2 linked regions of the Coturnix japonica genome follow. The protein of the gene in region 1 purifies or fractionates together with the protein of each later gene. This does not show direct contact. Links are inferred from orthologs where the notes say so. Each region holds a gene or a part of one and is shown on either strand. Other genes may lie near its edges.

Evidence for each region.
Region 2: the proteins of PPIE (region 1) and AQR purify together in Homo sapiens (affinity purification with mass spectrometry; 5 studies listed by BioGRID and IntAct, counting the BioPlex papers as one, with this or other methods). This does not show direct contact. The link is inferred for Coturnix japonica from reciprocal best matches to the Homo sapiens genes PPIE and AQR.

The regions. Positions count from the first base shown.
Region 1 is NC_029538.1:4,803,602-4,808,032, reverse strand, and holds the start of PPIE (peptidyl-prolyl cis-trans isomerase E), read left to right. Parts: upstream 1-1,505; 5' UTR 1,506-1,533; coding exon 1,534-1,758; intron 1,759-1,911; coding exon 1,912-2,010; intron 2,011-2,132; coding exon of another isoform or gene 2,133-2,176; intron 2,177-2,281; coding exon of another isoform or gene 2,282-2,308; intron 2,309-2,594; coding exon 2,595-2,676; intron 2,677-2,882; coding exon 2,883-2,983; intron 2,984-3,323; coding exon 3,324-3,447; intron 3,448-3,520; coding exon 3,521-3,706; intron 3,707-4,196; coding exon 4,197-4,339; intron 4,340-4,415; coding exon 4,416-4,431. Other genes in the region: PABPC4 (polyadenylate-binding protein 4), read left to right, coding at 331-458, 579-672, 786-916, 1,004-1,090. UniProt on the Homo sapiens protein: Involved in pre-mRNA splicing as component of the spliceosome. Combines RNA-binding and PPIase activities.
Region 2 is NC_029520.1:29,052,722-29,056,532, reverse strand, and holds part of AQR (RNA helicase aquarius), read right to left. Parts: intron 3,476-3,811; coding exon 3,355-3,475; intron 2,374-3,354; coding exon 2,232-2,373; intron 1,610-2,231; coding exon 1,431-1,609; intron 1-1,430.

The sequences.
Region 1 (4,431 bases):
TGCTACAGCAGCAGAAATCCAGATGGGTTACTTTCCATTTGCTTGGAATTCATCTCTATAGCAACATTTACTGCTCTAAATAAGACTGTAGGTTATGGGTTTTGTTCTTGAGGCATTCAAATTTTATGTTAGGGAGTAACTAGAAAATACCTTAAATGCAGAATGTAGAATAATTCTTTTCTGGAATATCCAGTTGTAATTTGGAGACCAGTTCCTAAGCAAATATTGGCCTGTGCAGAGCATAGTTTGAATTTAGCAGTAATTAAGATACCTCAGGTTACTTGCTGCACATTCCTATGGTGGTTTTGATCCTGCTCTCTTCTCTTGCAGGTGTTACCACTGCAGGACAGAACTTGGCTCCTCGTCCACCTGTGGCTGCTCCTGCTCCCAGAGCAGTTCCCCCTTATAAATATGCCTCAAGTGTCCGCAGCCCACACCCACCTGTACAGCCTTTGCAGGTAACACAAGGATCTGTGCCTGAAGCAGCTGCAGGCCAACAGGTTTGACATGCAGCTGAAGAGTTTTTGCAGAAACAGCACAGCATCTATTTTTGCATCCTCCTGTCTGCCCTTCTATAGGCACCTCAGCCTGCAGTACACGTGCAGGGACAGGAGCCACTAACAGCCTCCATGCTGGCTGCTGCCCCTCCCCAGGAGCAGAAACAGATGCTGGGTAAGTGAAACTCAGGTTCTTCCAGATTGCATTTTACTTTGGGAATGTCCTGAGGTTTCATTGACAGCTTCTAAATTAAAACTGCTGTCTGAAATCCTTTTTTTTTTTTCTAGGAGAACGTTTGTTCCCTCTTATTCAAGCTATGCACCCCAGCCTTGCAGGGAAGATCACAGGAATGCTGCTGGAGATTGACAACTCGGAGCTGCTGCACATGTTGGAGTCTCCAGAGTCCCTCCGCTCAAAGGTAAAGCCGGCCCGTTCCCTTGTAGGCCAAACTGTGTGTCCCTTTGGTTGGGAGAGAATTCTTACTGGCTCATCTTCTTGCCCGCAGGTGGAGGAGGCTGTTGCAGTGCTGCAGGCTCACCAAGCCAAGAAAGAAGCTGCCCAGAAGGTGGGTGTGGTTGCTGCTACCTCTTAAGCCAGGAGGGCAGGTGAGTGTCTCAGTGCTCAGCTTCAATTCAAAGCTTCCAGGTTTGGTAAATAAAACCAGGCAGTTACTGGGCGTTGTTGGTGTGGGAGCTTGTCTGAGTGGAGCCAGTTCTTCAGAACATCTTCCTCCTTTCCCTGCAGGATGCAATGAAGCCAAACAGCCCCTGTCACAGCCCCTGTCACAGCCCCTGTCACAGCCAGCGGCTGGAGGAGGCTGCAGCCCTGCAGGACTCGATGCCACGCGCCGTATCACGTAGTTCTATTGCATTTTGTAATTAACCCTTGGGATCTCACCGAGCGACTCTGGCTGCCCAAAGCCTGGATGGAGTCTGTGAGCTTTTCCTTTGTGAGCAGAGTTTAAGTCTTTTCTATGCAGGACTTTGAAGGTTTCTGGTTGACAAAAGCATTTTGTGGTTTTGGTTTTAACGGCCCATGTTGGAGAGTTCTGGAAAATCGTTTGGCAATGGAGGAATAAAAACTTTCTCAGCGTTTGTCACGTTTCTCTTTAGTTTTGTCACTTTGGGCTGGTTCGGGGGTTCGTCCCTCCCCGCCGCCAGGGGGCGCTGCCGGGGCGGCGCTGGGCGGAAGGGCGGGATATGCCCGAACTTCCGGGGTGGGGCGGCAAGATGGCGGCCACCAAGAGGGTGCTGTACGTGGGTGAGTGGGGCGGGCGGCGGGGAGGCGAGAGGGGCCGTAACGGTGTTGTGGGCCATAATGCTGTGTGTCCGTAACGCTGTGTGTCCGTAACGCTGTGTGTCCGTAACGCTGTGTGTCCGTAACGCTGTGTGTCCGTAACGCTGTGTGCCGCAGGCGGGCTGGCGGAGGAGGTGGACGAGAAGGTGCTGCACGCCGCCTTCATCCCGTTCGGCGACATCACCGACATCCAGATCCCGCTGGACTACGAGACCGGTGCGTGGCGGGGCGGGGACCGGGATGTGACCGGCCTGTAACCGGGCTGTAACCGGTGTAACCGGGCTGTGACCGGGCTGTAACTGCTGTGACCGGGCTGTGACCGGGCTGTTTGCTGGCAGAGAAGCACCGCGGATTCGCCTTCGTGGAGTTCGAGCTGGCGGAGGTGAGGGGGTGGGGGTCGGGGTGTGAGTGTCTCCCGTTGGGGCATTGGGGCCTTTAGAGGCAGAGGGCGCCGTGTGTGTAACGGAGCCTGTCGCTCTTCACGCAGGATGCGGCTGCGGCCATTGACAACATGGTACGAGTCACACAATCACAGAGTCCTGGAGCCCTGCCCTGCCCTGTCCCCGGGGCTCAGCCCTGCCCGGACACTTGGTGTTTCTGTGCTGGTGACGCTGCAGACCTGCTGATCCCGGAGCTGTGATGCCGGCCCTGCTTTGCTGGTGCTGTTGGTGCTGCCTGTGGCTCAGTGCAGCTCCTGAACTGCGTGTAGTGCTCAGAAAAAAAACAGCCCCGTTCTCTGCAGAGGGGACACAGTGAGTTTTTACCTTGTGGTGGGTTTTGTGCTTTTTTGTCCTCTGTAGAATGAGTCTGAGCTCTTTGGTCGGACGATTCGAGTGAACTTGGCCAAACCAATGCGAATTAAAGAAGGATCGTCTCGGCCGGGTAAGTTGGTACCCCTCACCTGGGGGAGCTGCTGGCTCTGTCCCTGTGTCCCCATGATGTGGGGTGACCACATGCAGTTCTGGGGGTGGTTGGGCCAGCAGCACCCTGGGTTACAGTCCTGCTGCTTCTGGAGCTGTGCTGAGTCCAGAGTCGTGTATGGCCCTGGGCTCAGCGCCCTGCTCTCATCCTGCCCTCCCTTGCTGCAGTGTGGTCAGATGATGAGTGGCTGAAGAGGTTCTCAGGAAAGACCCTGGAGGAGAACGCAGAGGAAGGAGGAACAGAGGCACCCAAACCAGAGACACAGGAGGTAGGGATGGATGGAGCTGGTTGTGTCCTGCTGAGTGCCTTGGAATGGGGAATGGCCACATGGGGAACTGGGTGCTGTCAGCTTTGAGAGCCAGGAGTGAGCTGTGGCCCTGTCAGTCCCTGTGCTCCCAAAAGCTCCGTGAGCCCATAGGGAGCCGTGTGTTTCAGCTGCACCCTGCAGCAGCCCCCAGGCTGTGAGAAGCCTCCTGTTGCTTCATGCTGCCTCCAGGGACTTCTGGAGCTGGATCTGCTGCTGGCACTGTGCTGCAGGCTGGGGTCAGCCTGGCCATTGGGTGGCAGAGCTGAGCAGTGGCAGCATAGTGTACCTTCTCCTCGCATAGGGTGAGCCTCCTGCCAAGAAGTCCCGGGCCAACCCCCAAGTTTACATGGACATCAAGATTGGCAACAAACCTGCAGGGCGGCTCAAGATCCTGCTGCGCTCCGACGTGGTGCCCATGACTGTAGGTGAGCAGCGCTGCTGTCACTGTGGCCCACAGGCTGCAGTGCTGTGCTCACCTCTGCCCTTTGCCTTGAACAGAAAACTTCCGCTGCCTCTGCACCCAGGAGAAAGGCTTTGGCTTCAAGGGGAGCAGCTTCCACCGCATCATCCCCCAGTTCATGTGCCAGGCTGGGGACTTCACCAACCACAACGGCACCGGAGGAAAATCCATCTATGGGAAGAAGTTTGATGATGAAAACTTCATCCTGAAGCACACGGGACCAGGTAGGGTGGGGTTTGTGGGGCACCTCGAGCTGCTCTGACCACACAGCAGCAGCCCCAGGGCCGGTCTGTGTTGGTGCAGCACCTGGAGCAGACTGCAGTGTGCCCACAGCATTCAGTGGGCAGAAATGCTGCCCCCTATTTCTACCCCCACGCTGTTAATTTCCAGTCTCATATCATGGAGAATTTCAAAGCTGCTTTTCTGTTGGGCTTTATGGCAGGAGCAGTGCAGTCTAACTGTGAGCATTGGAAAGGTGGCAGAAAGCAAGCAGGCTGATCTCCAAAGCTTTGCTGTTGCTACAGTTAAAAATAGATTAATGCTCTCTACCACTTCACTCTGTTCATACCCGGAGGTGTTTCTTGGCATCATCAACTTCCCGCAGTTCCAATATTCAGAGACTCTCTTAAAGCCAGCAGTGTCTGCTCAGCCCGGGGGGGGGGGTTAGTTAATTATTGGCGTTGCTCCCAGTAATGCTGCCCTGTTTGGTCCCAGGGTTGCTGTCCATGGCCAACGCCGGCCCGAACACCAACGGCTCCCAGTTCTTCATCACTTGTGATAAAACCGACTGGCTGGACGGGAAGCACGTGGTGTTTGGGGAGGTGACAGAGGGCATGGACGTGGTGCGGCAGATTGAGGTTGGTGCTGGGGTGAGGGGGGCTGTGTGTGCCCACCCCCCACCACCATCTTTAAGCCTTCATTCCCCTTCTGCAGGCTCAGGGCACCAAGG
Region 2 (3,811 bases), on another chromosome or scaffold:
ACTAGAGGCAATCACTAGCTCTTTGGAATATGCAGACAAAATTTCTTGGTGCTGATCTTATTAACTAGATTAATAATGGAATAGAAAAATGTATCTGAGTCATTTAACCATACAACCTAATCTTAAAAGTGCTTAAAGATATATAAAATTATTCTGAAGCAAAAGCAGGCTAAGAAATTACATTACAATTTTAGTGACAACCATGGACCAAACAGAGCAAGAGATCAACAGTAAAGGAGTGCTAGCTATTTAATATAAACCTTATCAAAGCATATGAGAAGACTATTTTCAAGATAATTACATAACAGTAACTATAGTTTCTATCATTCTTACAACAGAAAATACAAAGACATCAAGTAAAAAAAATGGTAGGTTACTATCAGAGAAACCTGTTTACATTGAAGGCTATTTTAAAACACTGCAAGTTTTGGGGACTTTCCCAAGGTTCAATACAAATTCTTTAAATGCTCTGCAGGCACGCGTAACAAGTTGGATGCTCAATTAAGTTAAGGCTGAAGATCACTTCAGTGTCATTAAAACTGATTACTTCAATCAAAACTTCTAGAAATTTTTAAAACCTGCCATTTACTGCCCTCAAGATAGTGAAGTCTGCTTCCATCCTCCACGTGACAATAATAATCCTAACGTTACTAGTAAGGAAATATTCCATATCTGTTTGTTTATTACATGCTCCAGCCTCAGCATTTGTGCTATGTGACCTGTAATCACATGGTGCAGCTTCAGCACATTTCACTAACATTTTTCTATTAAAAAAAAAAATAATAATAAAAAAAAATGAAGTGACATTTACTGATAATCCAAATACAAGTACATGCTACTATGCCACTTGCCAACACAGTCAAGTAAAGTTCAGCTCCTCAAGCAAAAAAGTGTCACTTGCAGATACTTTGAAAAAACATTATTTAGTATACTCAGCACTCCTTAAATACATTCAAATATACTGAATACTGCTAACATACACACTTGATTTAATTCAAGATCTGTACCCTTCATTTTTCACAGAATGGCTGAGGTTGGAAGGGGCCTCTGTAAGTTACCCGGTCCAACTACCCTGCTCAAGCAAGGCCACCCAGAGCAGGTTGCCCAGGACCATGTCCAAGTGGCTTTTGAAGATCTCCATAGAGGAGACTTCACAAACAAGCTAGGCAAACAAAGACAGTGCTCTGCAATCTGTACAGTAAATAAGTGCTTACTGTGTTTTTATTAGAGAGATATCACATTCCCTGCCACTTTCAAAATCTAAAAAACAAAAGGCTAAATTTCTTAGAATCAAAACCACACTTTTGAAGCATACTAAGATAGGTAAGTCTACCTCAGTCACAAAACCTTTCTTATTAATAAAATCAGTGCAAAGGACATTTTGATGAGCAGTTATTTGACCACCTTAGTTTACAGAATAGGACAAGTACCTTCCCATTCATCTTTGATGCTATCTCTAACATTCAAATTAATTGTGACATCTGCTCGTACTCGCATGGGCCAGTTTTCACCAATATTGGGCTTTGCAACCTCTACCACTGTGAAAGACACGATGGGCTGTGCCATCCTAGCCCATCCACCAAAGACCACTCCTCCATATTCTGACAGCCTAAAAAAAAAAAAACACGAACAAACAAAATACAAGAAATCAGTTTTGTTAGTTGCTATCCAATAACAGATTTGGCTTTTAAAGTGTGAAACAATTCACCCCAAAGTCAACTCAAAGAAAAGGGTCTTCATTTTACATGCTGCTGAATTGGACTCATGTAACCCTGTATTTATTTTTTTTTTTTAAACTGTATAACATGAACTGATTTTTATTTTTTTTTTAATATATTTCAAGACATCACATGCCAGTGCTATTAATAAAACTGAAGACAGAGAGAGAAAAAAGGTAGGATAAGAAAAAGCAAATACTGGGTATAAGTGATACCACACCAAATGATCCCCTTAAGATCTAAACAGAATCAAAATATGTACCACATTGTTAATATCCAACTTCTAGCATTAAGTCCTTTAAGTTAAGACTACAGGTATACATACAAACTTATTCTTGCGACATCATCTGACAGAATGGGGAACAGGTTAGTACAAAGCACAGCATTTTATAATAATTTAAAATGCATTACTGGGCATTTACTACATAGACAACATCAGTTATTCATTCTCAAATGCACTTTGTTTACAGTTGAAGCTGAGTTGACTGGTTCAGGTCATTTAATAAATATTACCATGGTTTCATCCTACTGACGCTATCTTCAATGTCCTGTCTGATCTCATAAGTTGACTCTAAGCGAAACAGATTGAAGTTCCTTAGCAAGTAATCGTGCAGAGTCAGAAACTGTAGATTCAGTTTGGGAAGTGCAAGACAGCCTAAGGAAGGATAGGATCAGAAGAGAAAAGTTATTTAATGAATAAAAAAAAAAGAAAATGAATATTTTAGTTCTACATAACTACAAATACATAAACACATTATTCTATAACTGCTGGAGTTCTTACTATAGGAGATTCCAAGAATTTCTCTTTTTGTAGATATACTGTACTAACAAATACATATTTTCATCCTTTCCTCCCCTAAATTTTCAATTTCTCTCTAGATGAACCTGCACAAAATTAAAATAATTTTCATCCTTTTGACAGAAGAATTTAGCTGTATTAAAGAACACAAAAGAAATATGATGCTGGAAAATACACTGAGCTTAAAAGCGGAAAACACAAACTAAAACTGAGAGAAGAAAAACAAGAAAATATTTGTAATCATCTCACAGTAACAGAAGTGCTTCTCAAAAGTGCTACCAACGTACAGATAGCAAATGTGAACAATCTCTGTTTCTTGCCAAAATTACGTTTCACATTACATTTTACATTAATAAAAACTCTTTAAAGGATTATTAATAATTTACAGAACACCACAGAAACAGGTGCAACAAAATGATATAGTCATTAGTGTATGTTTATATACTTTTTCAAAAATTTTATATATATATTTATATATATATATATATATCACAGACATATATAATATAGATATATAATACATACATATATGTGTGTGTGTGTATATATACATATAGATATATAAAATATACGTATAAGAAGATCAGATACATTCAGGCACAGCATGTATATCCAGGAGACTCCTGTATTGGTATATCAACTGCTGGGAATGGCTTATCTGTTACAGACTATAAGTAAAGAAGCAGCTTTACGTAAACACATACTTTTAGATTTTTAAGTACTCTATTTGCTAAAAGATGCCATATGATTGCATGAACTCTGACGACAGGATAAGCATAGGTTGCCTTTTTGGGCACTTACTGTTCCTTTCAGCCTTTACTAAACTGCTAATCATACCTTCTCCAGAATAATATTCAGTTGGAACAATATTTTCATCCCAAATAATCTTCTCTGTGGGATACAGAGGCATCTGATTGAGTTGCTGAATTTGAGATATTCGTCGCTCATGACGGGAAACCTAAAGGATGCATTTGAAATTTCTGTAAATCAAAACAGGAAAATAAAGCTATCTTTAAAACATTTGCATTAATCCAGAAGAATGCTGGTGGTCACTCTGTTTTAATAACCTCTTTTCCTCCAATCAAACACAACTAAGTCTGTATAATAATACTGAAAGATGAGTAAGCATATATTCCAGCTGTCAGTCATTCAAAGAATCATCTCGTTTCTCAACTGATGAGAAATGTTCGCTTCTTTGTTTTTGTTTGATTTGTTTTGTTTTGCATTGCTTGTATTTCAGAAACTAATTGTAACTAGTCATCCAGTAATAGCTAATATTAATTACCCCTTTGGG